3 linked regions of the Xenopus tropicalis genome follow. The protein of the gene in region 3 interacts with the protein of the main gene of each other region in a pairwise test. Links are inferred from orthologs where the notes say so. Each region holds a gene or a part of one and is shown on either strand. Other genes may lie near its edges. The genes, in order: rbsn, micall1 and ehd3.

Region 1 (3,649 bases), on a different chromosome or scaffold from region 3:
CAGGTCACACATTCACAGGTGGGACTCCATTCTTAGCTTTCAGCCCATTTACGGAGTGATGGCCAATTCAATTAAATAAAGTGGCCAACGTTATCATACCATGAGGCAGAGCCCTGGATCAATGACAGGTAAAAGGATAAGAAAATATGGTCTCTGTCGTGCCAGTCCTTTCCCTTGAAACTGGCCCTGAAGTGCTAAATAATTACAGATCCTGACCCTGTACTAAAACCACTATTTCCTTTTTACCTTTTAAACATATGTTGTCCATAGTTAGTGTTAACTGGGACCAATAGCGTTTTATGAGCTCCTTTCATGAACACTTGTTAATGGGTTTGTTAAAGGGCAACTATCCCCAACCAACAACAAAAATTAAATTGGTTTTACATCCATATCTAGTCACATGGGTTGGGTATATGTCCACTTTAAAACTGGACCCACTGTGTGAATTTACTATGTTATACTTACACAAAGGAATAAGGACAGACTGTGGCTCTGAGATCTAACCTTATTAATGGAAAACATATGTATAGGCATAAAAGTATTTTTTACAGAAACATTGGTCTAGGCTACAGCCCTTTTTTAAGCTGATATGATACAAGGGGCCAAGGCTGATATTTAGAGTTTTTCATGGCAGCATGGCCCTCCCAATCAATCACATACACATCACAGCATGAAGCAATGCATTGGATGACTGAGAAAATAATAACCACTTACTCCTAATGGTATAATGCCCTTTAAAGGGTGGTATACCCTATTTATAAGTGACTTTGCATTTATCTTCCCATACTGTTTGCAAAGATCATTCTATCTCTGTATATATTACACAGACATGGTAGCTGTCAGATTGCTGCTTTCAGCTGAGGACAGATGCTGGGACAAGCATATTGGCAGCTCCCATTCATATGTAAAAGTGGATGTAACCAATGAAATCATGTAACAAACCAAGCTGCAATACTTTACTGCCTACTGAAAAGAAACAAATTGGAAGCCTATATGTGACAATGAAAACTGAATGGGCACTGAAAAGCCACAATCTTGACCACATAACCCTTTTGGTGCTACAAGTGCCCAGGACTGCAAAGGTTTTAAATGATCCAGAACTCTGAGCATGACCCGCTGTTCGGCCCCATGGAGGTGTTTTTCTCACCACTCTGTGTTATTTAATTTGCTCCTTCTGTTTGGCAAGTGTCTTCTTCAGTTCTCGCAGATTCTCAGTTAGAACCTCTACTTCATCCAGCCGGCCACTGTGCTTGGCATCAAAGATGTACGCCTTGATGTTATCAATCTGTTGCAGCAGCAGATCTTCTTCTATGACCTCTTCATCCTGGGTCTCCTCACTGTCCTCAAATGGGTTTCCTGGGATCTGATCCTCATCAGTTTCAAAGGGATTCTGGGAAATACCTGATGCGCTATTACTGTCTGTGGAGCATTCAAAGGGATTGCTTGAGGCAGGGGCTGTTAAATGTTTATTATCCTCTTCCTTACTATCCAAGCCATTCTCATCATTCTCGTCAAAGGGATTATACTCCTTCCTACCATTGTGATGTGTGTGGAGAGGAAGCAAAGGTGCTGGTTCATCATCCTCATCTTCGAAAGGGTTAGAGGGTGTAACTTTACTCTTCTCCACTTTGGGCAAAACAGGGGTTGTGGTCATGGAGTGATTTGGAAGTACATGGTAGTCCTCCACATCCAGTTTGCTTTCAGTAACACGCTGGGATGGAAGGGATTCGTTGAGGTCACGTTTGGGAAATTGTAGGTCCAGAGCTGCTGTCTGTTTTTCCTGCCACCCCATTGGCTGTCCCTGCTCTCTAAAATCCAATGAATGAGTTCTGTTGTGTTGAGCTAAGCCTTTGAGTTGCTCGCGTTTCACCTCTCTTTTCCTCAGCACTTCCAGCTGCTCCCTCTGCATGGCCTCCTCCTCAGCCAGAACCTTGGACATCTGGATGGCTGTTTCCACCTGCTGCTCGTCGTACTCCTCCTGCAGTTGTCTAAGGTTATCCTCCAGCATCTGCACCTCGTCCACTCGCCCAGCATCTTTGGCTTGCCGGATGTACGATGTGATGTTTTCAATCTGCTGGAGAAGGGGGTCTGACATCTCTCTGTTTCGAGGGTGTCCGGATGTCGGAAGCCAGCCCTCAACTTTGCGAATCTGACCACTCGGAGACAGACCACCATTGCGTACATCCCTTTTCTTGTCATCACCGGCCTTCTGTGCTTCAGCCTGCAAAAGAAAATACAGAGAAGCTGCTGAAAGAAACTTCCTCCAGACACTCACAAAAATAACATGTCCTTCTGCCATGGATTTAGCCAAGTGTAGAATTTAGAGCTCTAAACTCTAAAACTGCAGCTTGCACTTTTCCAGACAGAGAGCTGCATGTATCACCACTTTTGTTAATGGTGCTTGGGTCAGAATGCTCAATCCTTCCTGCCTTCTATTCCAAATCAGACACTGCTGCGCCTATTGAGGCAGGGAACCCTGGAGCTACTGCAACCTTCTTATCAGGCAGTAGCTCCAGGGTTCCCTTTGTGGTCTTTTTGCCAAAGGGCATGTGCAGCAATAATAGGGCACACATGTCACTCGCATGCCAAACACCAGAAATGATGCCAGCGAACCCTGACCAATGGCCAGTCGGATTTAGAAAATAGACTGTGCCTGATTTGACAAAAGCACATGTGCCGCTACATCAACTTCATCAATAGAATCGCCCATTTGGATCTGCAATGATACCAGAAATCAAGAAAAAATGTTGGAATGTGGGAAAAAAAGCAGATTGTACTTATAATTGCACTTGACGTAAACGTAAAGCCTTCTTCTCTCTATACTTGCCCTTGTAGGTTAAAAGGGTCTGTCACATGGCTAAAGGTCCCCATACACGGGCCGATTATAGCTGCCGATATCGGTCCCTTGGACCCATTCGGCAGCTTATCAGCCCGTGTAGCGGCAGAACCGAGGGGCCTGGCTGACCGATATCTGGCCTGAAATTGGCCAGATATCAATCGGCCAGGTTAGAAAATCCAGTTGGATCGGGGACCGTATCGGCTTGTTGATGCGGCCCCCGAACCGACTGCCCCATTGCCGCCCACATAATCCGATCGTTTGGCCCCAGGGCCAAAATGATCGAATAATTTTTTTTTTTACCTAAAAGCTCCCCGATATCAGCCACCCATAGGTGGGGTTATCGGGTGCAGATCGCCAAGCGAGCGGATCTCAGCATGTATGGGGACCTTTAGTGTTGCCACAATTATTTAATCACAATAATTTAGGTAGTATTATGACTTCCAGTATCTTTTATGGGGTTTGGGGGTGATGGCCCAGGCCCAGACTGGCAATCTATGGGTTCTGGCCAAAGCCAGAGGGGCTGCTGTAAGATGCCATAGACAGTCACTATTTATTGGGCTGGTGGGCGCAGTTTGGGCCTCTGTGAACACCAAGGCCAGTTTTGAATCCCAGTCTGGGCCTGGAATCGTCATACAATTGAACTAGCAGATATATGTTGGTAGCAACAGCTAGCAGTTGCACTATGATAGATTACTATAGGATTACTTACCTGTCGCTCTCTCTGCAGTTTCTGCTCATTCTCTTGCCTCCGCTTCTGTTTAAGCTCCTCGTATATTTCTTTAGTTGGCAAAGACATTAAGCCCAGTAATT
Region 2 (4,379 bases), on a different chromosome or scaffold from region 3:
ACTGATATGCTACTGTAATCAGAGTACAACTTCTGTAAGAGATTAACTCATAAAGGAGAAATGTTTGATTTCGGCACAGTAGTGACAGCATTGCAATTGTTATTGCCACATATCCTTGTGAGCATGAATCAGATTTTCAGGCGGAGGAATGAAACTGCTTGACAGTAAGAAATTCCTATTTATAGGCAGGGAAAATGAGCGCGCAGCCTATAAAGAGAACTGGGATGGCACAATGACTCCGTGGTTGGCACTGCAGCTTGGCAGTACTGGGGTCCTGAGTTTAGTCCTGACCTGAGCTGTGCAAGGAGCTTGTTTTTCCTATGTAACTGTGGGTTTCCTCAGAGGACTCCAATTTCTTCCCACACTCCAAAACATGTTATATTTTCATGGTTAATGTCAGACATGGAATTTTTTCATTTGGGAGGATTTTTCTCCATTGGCAGGGGGCAATTATATCAATAACGCCATGCCATTAAATTCAATGGAATCTACTTGTCACTATAAACATGACTGTTTTCTGGGCAAAATGTGTGAATAGTTAACTGACCCTTTGACTGGTAGAGAAAACACCATGTCTGACTTTAGCCTAAAGAAGCTTGTTTTTTAAATGTGGGAGAAAAACATAGAATCCTGATCAAGTTGGCAGCTTATAGGCTTATAGTGCATAAATGACGGCTCAACCAATATTTGACTTGGGTTCAGACAGGTATTTATTAGGTTATCTACAAAATCCTTTCAAGTTAGGATATCCGGACATGGCCCAAATGTGATCTGATCACTGGCCTAATTTGACTCAACAAACTGGGCAAAGATTTGCTTATTTGTCGAGATACGTGCATTGTGGTTTTATTCTTTGGGGAAACCATGTAGAATAATGACAGGCGACTGTCAGAAATTGCAGGTACTGAAAAACTCAAACACCCATAATCCCTAACCATTGACATAATTCAACAATAAGGGAATGCTAACTATTTCCCACATTTCCTAGAGAACTGTAAAGGATTTTTGAGAAATCTGTGCAGTGTAGGGCTTCTGACACAGCCCTGCCCAATCTGCCTGCCACAGCTGGTGATTCCCATTTGCCAATGTCATCCCTGGTCAAAAGATGTCAGCAACTTCCCACTGGGGCTTGGGTGGGTTGTAAACACACACATAGAGGGGCAAGGGGTCAGATAAAAAAGGACAATAGTAATAACCTATTAGTCAGAACAAAGCCAGCAGCCTTAGGGGGTAGGTGTGAACTTAACGCTCACCTTCTAGTCTAATATACATATAATTTACACACAGTGGACAGCTATTCTAACAAGATGATAATTTAATATAGGATGACTGTGGCTTAAGGCTAGGAACAAACTGTATCTGTTTGCACCTATGTTAATGAAATAATAGCTGGAACATAATTCCTAAATGTGCAGCCAAAGAAGGCCTTTTTCAGGAATGAAATATGGACAGAACTTAGTTACACCCCAAGTGCAAAACCTGTGCGCAGTGCAGATGTTCTATGTAGCTTTACATCCATGGGCACAGGTACTGTATTTGCAGGCAACAATCCCTCACCAGTCCTATGAACATGACCCCAGTGTTTCACACGATCATGGTGCATTCTATTTAGAAACATCCCACAACCTGACTGGTGACTGGCGAAAATATTATATTATGCCCCTTTCACAATGAATTGTTAGTTCTTTTTACTCACATGAGATCAGGCCGATGGCGGTGAATGAGAGCGCAGAAGGCCAGTCCATCCCGAAAAGATGAGCTGAGGTCATAGATCAGAATGCCAGGGTAACCCTCACACTGCCGGGAGCACCACTGCTGTAGATTCCGTGAGGCCGACATAATTCTGGTACAAAAGAAGAAAAAACTTAAAACATGGAATTTTACATACAGCTATTAGTGAACTACATTTCCCTGCAATCCCAGCAAATGAAGAGAGCACAAACTCCCTTCCAGTTGGAAACTCATATATTGGTTATTATATTATATTATATTATATTGGTTATTCCTGATACAAAGTGAAGGATACCACTGGGTTGTGCCATGCTAAAGGAATACTGTAAAATAATGGCAATATAATTGAAAAAGATACATGGGCAATAGAAGTGATTGGCAAATTAAAGAAAAGGGCCATTGGTGCAGAGGAATAGGAACAAACAGACATAGGATACCAGTCTCTCCAATGTTGCATATAACTCCCCAGCTGCTGTAATACTTGTGCCTCTATTCTGTGCCAGTGCCAGGCTGTGTGGGGAGGCATTACAGTAAAGGTAGGAAAGAGATAACATAACAGGAAAAGTAAAGGAGGCTGCTGGGCACAATGCAGCCTGGCACCGCAGGGCACTATAAAAGGCAATGTCAGGCTAGGGATGGAAGAAGGACCAACTGCACAAGGCAAAGGGGCAGTTCTTAGTAAGGGGAGGCGATTGGGGATGAGGGGGCAAATAGAGGACACGGAAAAGTTAGTGACTAGCGGGGGTGGGGCTGTTAGGGGGGCACTGGAGGAACAAGTAACGCAATACACATCTACATTAATACATGGATTTGTGACAAACAGCTCTCCGTATAAATACTACTCCCTAGGGGAGATCCTGGGAGCTGTAGTCCAACAAGAGGCGCACAGCGCAGGTTGAAGCCTTTAGGGCATGGGGACATGGGGTTCGCTAGGTAAGGGGATCTGGAGTGTTCGGGCACCTGGTGTGTCCTGTGGCTCTGTCGGGCAGCCTTCGGCCTGGCTCCCAGCTCCTGCTCCCCGGTCTTCCTCAATATTGCCAGCCCGATTTCTGCTCTCCGGGGCGGTGCCTGTCTGTGGGTCGGTGTCTACGCCTGGATGTACTGCTCCTCCTCCTACAGTGAGGCGGGGAATGGCGAGGGGCTGTACTGCCGCCTCTGTGCGGATGTGCTGTACTGGCCGGCTCGGCTGTGGGTAATGCCCTCGGAAGGGAGCATGTAAGTAGGGGTGGCTCCTAGATTCGGGGTATAGAGGGCATTTAGCTTGGGACCCCGGCATCAGAAGGGTAGCTCTGACTCACATATTGTGTATATACTGGAGTGGAGAGTCCTAAGGGACAGGGGGGGCTGTAAGCACTCTGTGGGATTTTGGTTTTGCTTGCAGTGCAACGACAACCTTCCTGCATTAGTGACCCCCCCCCCCCACATACACATAGTGGTGCCTGCCCCCCACATACACATAGTGGTGCCTGCCCCCCACATACACATAGTGGTGCCTGCCCCCCCCCATACACATAGTGGTGCCTGCCCCCCCCATACACATAGTGGTGCCTGCCCCCCACATACACATAGTGGTGCCTGCCCCCCCATACACATAGTGGTGCCTGCCCCCCACATACACATAGTGGTGCCTGCCCCCCACATACACATAGTGGTGCCTGCCCCCCACATACACATAGTGGTGCCTGCCCCCCACATACACATAGTGGTGCCTGCCCCCCACATACACATAGTGGTGCCTGCCCCCCACATACACATAGTGGTGCCTGCCCCCACACATACACATAGTGGTGCCTGCGCCCCACATACACATAGTGGTGCCTGACCCCCCCCATACACATAGTGGTGCCTGCCCCCCCCCATACACATAGTGGAGCCTGCCCCCCCCATACACATAGTGGAGCCTGCCCCCCCACATACACATAGTGGTGCCTGCCCCCCCATACACAAAATGGTGCCTGCCCCCCCCACATACACATAGTGGTGCCTGCCCCCCCCACATACACATAGTGGAGTCTGCCCCCCCCACATACACATAGTGGTGCCTGCCCCCCCCACATACACATAGTGGAGCCTGCCCCTCCCCATACACATAGTGGAGCCTGCCCCCCCCATACTCATAGTGGAGCCTGCCCCCCCCCCATACTCATAGTGGAGCCTGCCCCTCCCCCATACACATAGTGGTGCCTGCCCCCCACATACACATAGTGGTGCCTGCCCCCCACATACACATAGTGGTGCCTGCCCCCCACATACACATAGTGGTGCCTGCCCCCCCATACACATAGTGGAGCCTGCCCCCCACATACACATAGTGGTGCCTGCCCCCCACATACACATAGTGGTGCCTGCCCCCCCATACACATAGTGGAGCCTGCCCCCCCCATACACATAGTGGTGCCTGCCCCCCACATACACATAGTGGTGCCTGCCCCCCCATACACATAGTGGTGCCTGCCCCCCCATACACATAGTGGTGCCTGCCCCCCACATACACATAGTGGTGCCTGCCCCCCACATACACATAGTGGTGCCTGCCCCCCACATACACATAGTGGAGCCTGCCCCCCACATACACATAGTGGTGCCTGCCCCCCACATACACATAGTGGAGCCTGCCCCCCACATACACATAGTGGAGCCTGCCCCCC
Region 3 (4,345 bases):
TAAATGCCCTTCCTAGTGATGGGGTAATGGCAGATTCTGTTAATGCCTATAAGAGGGGCCTGGATGAGTTTTTGAACAAGCAGAATATCCAAGGCAATTGTGATACTAATACCTACAGTTAGTATTACTGGTTGTATATATAGTTTATGTATGTGAGTGGATAGATAGGTAAGTATAGGCTGTGGGTGCTGGGTTTACTTGGAAGGGTTGAACTTGATGGACACTGGTCTTTTTTCAACCCTATGTAACTATGTAACTATAAATGTAATCATGTCATTATTATTAATGGAGACACTGATATCCACCAACATTTGTGACAATTTTTATCCCTGATTTATGATGAATTTTGGAAAAGCCCCGCCCATTTGATTCCAACACAAAAAACGAAATATGGAACCAGCAGGTACAGAAACATGAGAAATACATGCGATGCTTGATGTAAACTCCGCTCAAGCTCCCAGCAGTGCAGTAAATGAACGCCAAGCGCACCCTCAGCACATTTTCCCAACTCATTATATATTATAAGTGTTTCATTATGTGTTTTGTTCTGAGCATCAGTCCTCTGAGAACCCTACAGAACTACATTAAGATAATTACTAACAGAACCATAAGTGGCACTTGGTCCATATAAAATTGCTCTAATAGCACGGACGACCTGTGTCTCTTGTGGAACTACAACCCCCAGCATCCCTCATATGCCAAAGATCCCCACCAAATATATTTTTTTATGTTGGATCAATAAAATGCATGTTTTGCAGAGTATACTGTATATTTAGTTAGTTCTACGGGGGAAAAGCAACAGCCAGGGTGTACAACTGCCACAAAGCCAAAAGTTCTACAGGGCGTCACGCCTCCTTTCCATCACCCACAGAATATGCTTGTGCTTTGCACAAATGGATGGTTAGTCCATCAGCCTTACCCATCAGGCCCACATTAGGGAACCCATCGGCCCTACCCATCAGTATGACAGTAAAAAGCCCATTGTAAGGAGCCTGTAAGTCATACCATTTAGCCTTACAGCTGTGAGCCCACCAGCCCCAGCCAGCAGTTCTACAGAATTTTACTCATCATCGCTACACCAGTCCATAAGCAAAACCATTAGCTTAATAGATAGGAGCTCCGTTAGCCCTACCAATTAGCCTTATATTAAGAAGACTATCAACTCTATCCATCAGTTCTAAAGAATAAAGCTTTGTTAGCACGAGAATGCAGAGCCCATCAGCCCTACAGAACTGAAACCACCAGCCCTAGAGAATGGAGCCCATAAACCCTAGAGAACAGAGCCCATCAGCCTTAGAGAATGGAGCCCATAAACCCTAGAGAACGGATCCCATCAGCCCTAGAGAATGGAGCCCATAAACCCTAGAGAATGGAGCCCATCAGCCCTACAGAACTGAAACCACCAGCCCTAGAGAATGGAGCCCTTCAGCCCTAGAGAACTGAAACCACCAGCCCTAGAGAATGGAGCCCATCAGACCTAGAAAATGGAGTCCATCAGCCCAAGAGAACAGAGCCCATCAGCCCCAAAGAACTGAAACCACCAACAGCCCCAAAGAACTGAAACCACCAGCCCCAAAGAACTGAAACCACCAGCCCCAAAGAGCTGAAACCACCAGCCCTAGAGAACTGAGCCCATCAACCCTAGAGAATGGAGCCCATTACCTCGATAGAACGGAGCCCATTAGCCCTAGAAATTGGAACCCAACGGCCCTAGAGAACAGAGCCCATCAGCCCTAGAGAATGGAGTCCATCAGCCCTAGAGAACAGAGCCCATCAGCCCTAGAGAATGGAGTCCATCAGCCCTAGAGAACAGAGCCCATCAGCCCTAGAGAATGGAGTCCATCAGCCCTAGAGAACAGAGCCCATCAGTTCCAAAGACCTGGAACAACCAGCCCCAAAGAACTGGAACATCAGCTCTAGAGAACAGAGCCCATTAGCCCTAGAGAACAAAGCCCATCAGCCCTAGAGAACTGAAACCACCCGCCCTAGCGAATGGAGCCCATCAGCCCTAGGAAATGGAGCCAATCAGCCTAAGAGAACGGAGCCCATCAGCCCAGATAATACAGTTAGTCTATAAGCCAATGCCAAGTCAGTGAGTAACTGTCGTGTAGGTGAGTGAGCAGTTTAACGTTAGCTGAAGGCTGGACATTCCTACACTATCAAATGAATCAGTGTCACAGTAGAAAGTCAACTTTCCCCCCAAAGTGAGTCCATGGTCCCATGATACGGGCTCCCTCTCACAGTCACGCTTACACTCATACTCATGCACTGAGACCCCACCAACCCAATACCTGATGAAGGTGGTCTTCCCAGTAGAGTACTGTCCAACCAGGAGCACCATGGGCTTGTTATCAAAATCCGCATCCTCCAGCGCCGGCGAATGAAACTCGTGGAATTTGTAATATTCTTCCAGGGGCAGCAGCTTGGTCTTGTAGAGCTTCCTCAGCCCATCGCTGACCGTCTGGAAGACCTCGGGGTCCTTCTTCCTTCGGTCGTCGGTCCCCAGCCAGCTGAACATGTTGGGCTGTCACGGCCAAGGCAACGCGCTCTGCGGGGAGAGATGTCCAGCGATTCCCTGGGATCTGCAGTCAAATCTGCCCTTTATATATATATTCCCACCTCAATGGACCCCACTCTTACTATTCAGCTTTGGTTTTCAGCTCTGATTGATGGGCAATCCTGCAGGGCATGCAAGTGCAAAGCTAAATGTGTCCCTCAGAGCTGTGTGCAGCAATAAGCCTTCCCCAGACCTCTCATGTCATCCCAAGCAAAGAGGAACCACAAATAGACAGCAGCCCTGTTCTCAGCTGGATTTTAACTGCCAGCTTCCCAGGAAACTGACCTAAGCCGGAAGTGCCCATCTCCTGGCAAGCCGTCCCGACTGTAACATGGGAATGAAGCCGGAGAGGGCGGGGCCAAGTCTAACGAGGTGCGGCCGGCTTAGCTCCTCAGTACTGCAGTGTAACAGGGCTGATCTGAGAAATGATCGGCATCTCCATGGAAGTGTTCGCTTGGCGACACCTACAGGAGAGAGTCTGTAATAGCACTCTGCATAGCTGGGCCCTATAAATAAACCCCCTGAGGTAATGAGGCGTTTGTTTGTCTGGGGGCCCGCAGCATGCTGGGTAATCTGCCCAATAATTACAATTACATTAGCTTTAATTTCATCATCTGATGGCTGTGTGTCAGGCTGGCCTAGCTCTCACTGCCACAGCAGGATACCTGGAGTTGTACAGGGAACTCTGAGTATCACTCATGTATTATAAGGGATAATGTACCCCCTACTGTAAATGATAAGGATATTAGCAGTCCCTGAGGGGTTCTGTGCCCATATAAAGGCACAAGGCTGCAGGCTGAGTTATACAGGGAACTCTGAGTATCACTCATGTATTATAAGGGATAATGTACCCCCTACTGTAAATGATAAGGATATTAGCAGTCACTGAGGGGTTCTGTGCCCCCCATATAAAGGCACAAGGCTGCAGGCTGAGTTATACAGGGAACTCTGAGTATCACTCATGTATTATAAGGGATACTGTACCCCCTACTGTAAATGATAAGGATATTAGCAGTCACTGAGGGGTTCTGTGCCCCCCATATAAAGGCACAAGGCTGCAGGCTGAGTTATACAGGGAACTCTGAGTATCACTCATGTATTATAAGGGATAATGTACCCCCTACTGTAAATGATAAGGATATTAGAAATCACTGAGGGGTTCTGTGCCCATATAAAGGCACAAGGCTGCAGGCTGAGTTATACAGGGAACTGTGAGTATCACTCATGTATTATAAGGGATAATGTACCCCCTACTGTAAATGATAAGGATATTAGCAGTCACTGAGGGGTTCTGTGCCCCCCATATAAAGGCACAAGGCTGCAGGCTGAGTTATACAGGGAACTCTGAGTATCACTCATGTATTATAAGGGATAATGTACCCCCTACTGTAAATGATAAGGATATTAGCAGTCACTGAGGGGTTCTGTGCCCCCCATATAAAGGCACAAGGCTGCAGGCTGAGTTATACAGGGAACTCTGAGTATCACTCATGTATTATAAGGGATAATGTACCCCCTACTGTAAATGATAAGGATATTAGCAGTCACTGAGGGGTTCTGTGCCCATATAGTAGATGGGAAAACCTGACTATTTAATGATCTGATTTTGTATTTTTCTATTTTTTATCAGATTTGTTTGTGTAAATGTATAGAAACAGTAAACTAAAGCAGAATAAATAGAAATACATTAATTGCGAGTGCGTTAAATGCCGATGAGCAGCGTTACACTAACTGCATGCAGTAACCTGAGGGACATTCTGCGCTACAGGTATTTGATACAGATATTCC

Evidence for each region.
Region 1: the proteins of ehd3 (region 3) and rbsn interact in binary tests that used the Homo sapiens proteins (3 or more experiments, as listed by UniProt). The link is inferred for Xenopus tropicalis from reciprocal best matches to the Homo sapiens genes EHD3 and RBSN.
Region 2: the proteins of ehd3 (region 3) and micall1 interact in binary tests that used the Homo sapiens proteins (3 or more experiments, as listed by UniProt). The link is inferred for Xenopus tropicalis from reciprocal best matches to the Homo sapiens genes EHD3 and MICALL1.

What each region holds. Positions count from the first base shown.
Region 1 is NC_030680.2:132,268,565-132,272,213, reverse strand, and holds part of rbsn (rabenosyn-5), read right to left. Parts: coding exon 3,549-3,649; intron 2,222-3,548; coding exon 1,157-2,221; 3' UTR 1-1,156. UniProt on the Homo sapiens protein: Rab4/Rab5 effector protein acting in early endocytic membrane fusion and membrane trafficking of recycling endosomes. Required for endosome fusion either homotypically or with clathrin coated vesicles.
Region 2 is NC_030680.2:122,117,200-122,121,578, reverse strand, and holds the start of micall1 (MICAL-like protein 1), read right to left. Parts: upstream 2,888-4,379; 5' UTR 2,692-2,887; intron 2,365-2,691; exon of another isoform or gene 2,169-2,364; intron 1,844-2,168; 5' UTR 1,840-1,843; coding exon 1,697-1,839; intron 1-1,696. UniProt on the Homo sapiens protein: Lipid-binding protein with higher affinity for phosphatidic acid, a lipid enriched in recycling endosome membranes. On endosome membranes, acts as a downstream effector of Rab proteins recruiting cytosolic proteins to regulate membrane tubulation.
Region 3 is NC_030681.2:7,392,475-7,396,819, reverse strand, and holds the start of ehd3 (EH domain-containing protein 3), read right to left. Parts: upstream 2,824-4,345; 5' UTR 2,519-2,823; coding exon 2,292-2,518; intron 1-2,291. UniProt on the Homo sapiens protein: ATP- and membrane-binding protein that controls membrane reorganization/tubulation upon ATP hydrolysis. In vitro causes tubulation of endocytic membranes. Binding to phosphatidic acid induces its membrane tubulation activity.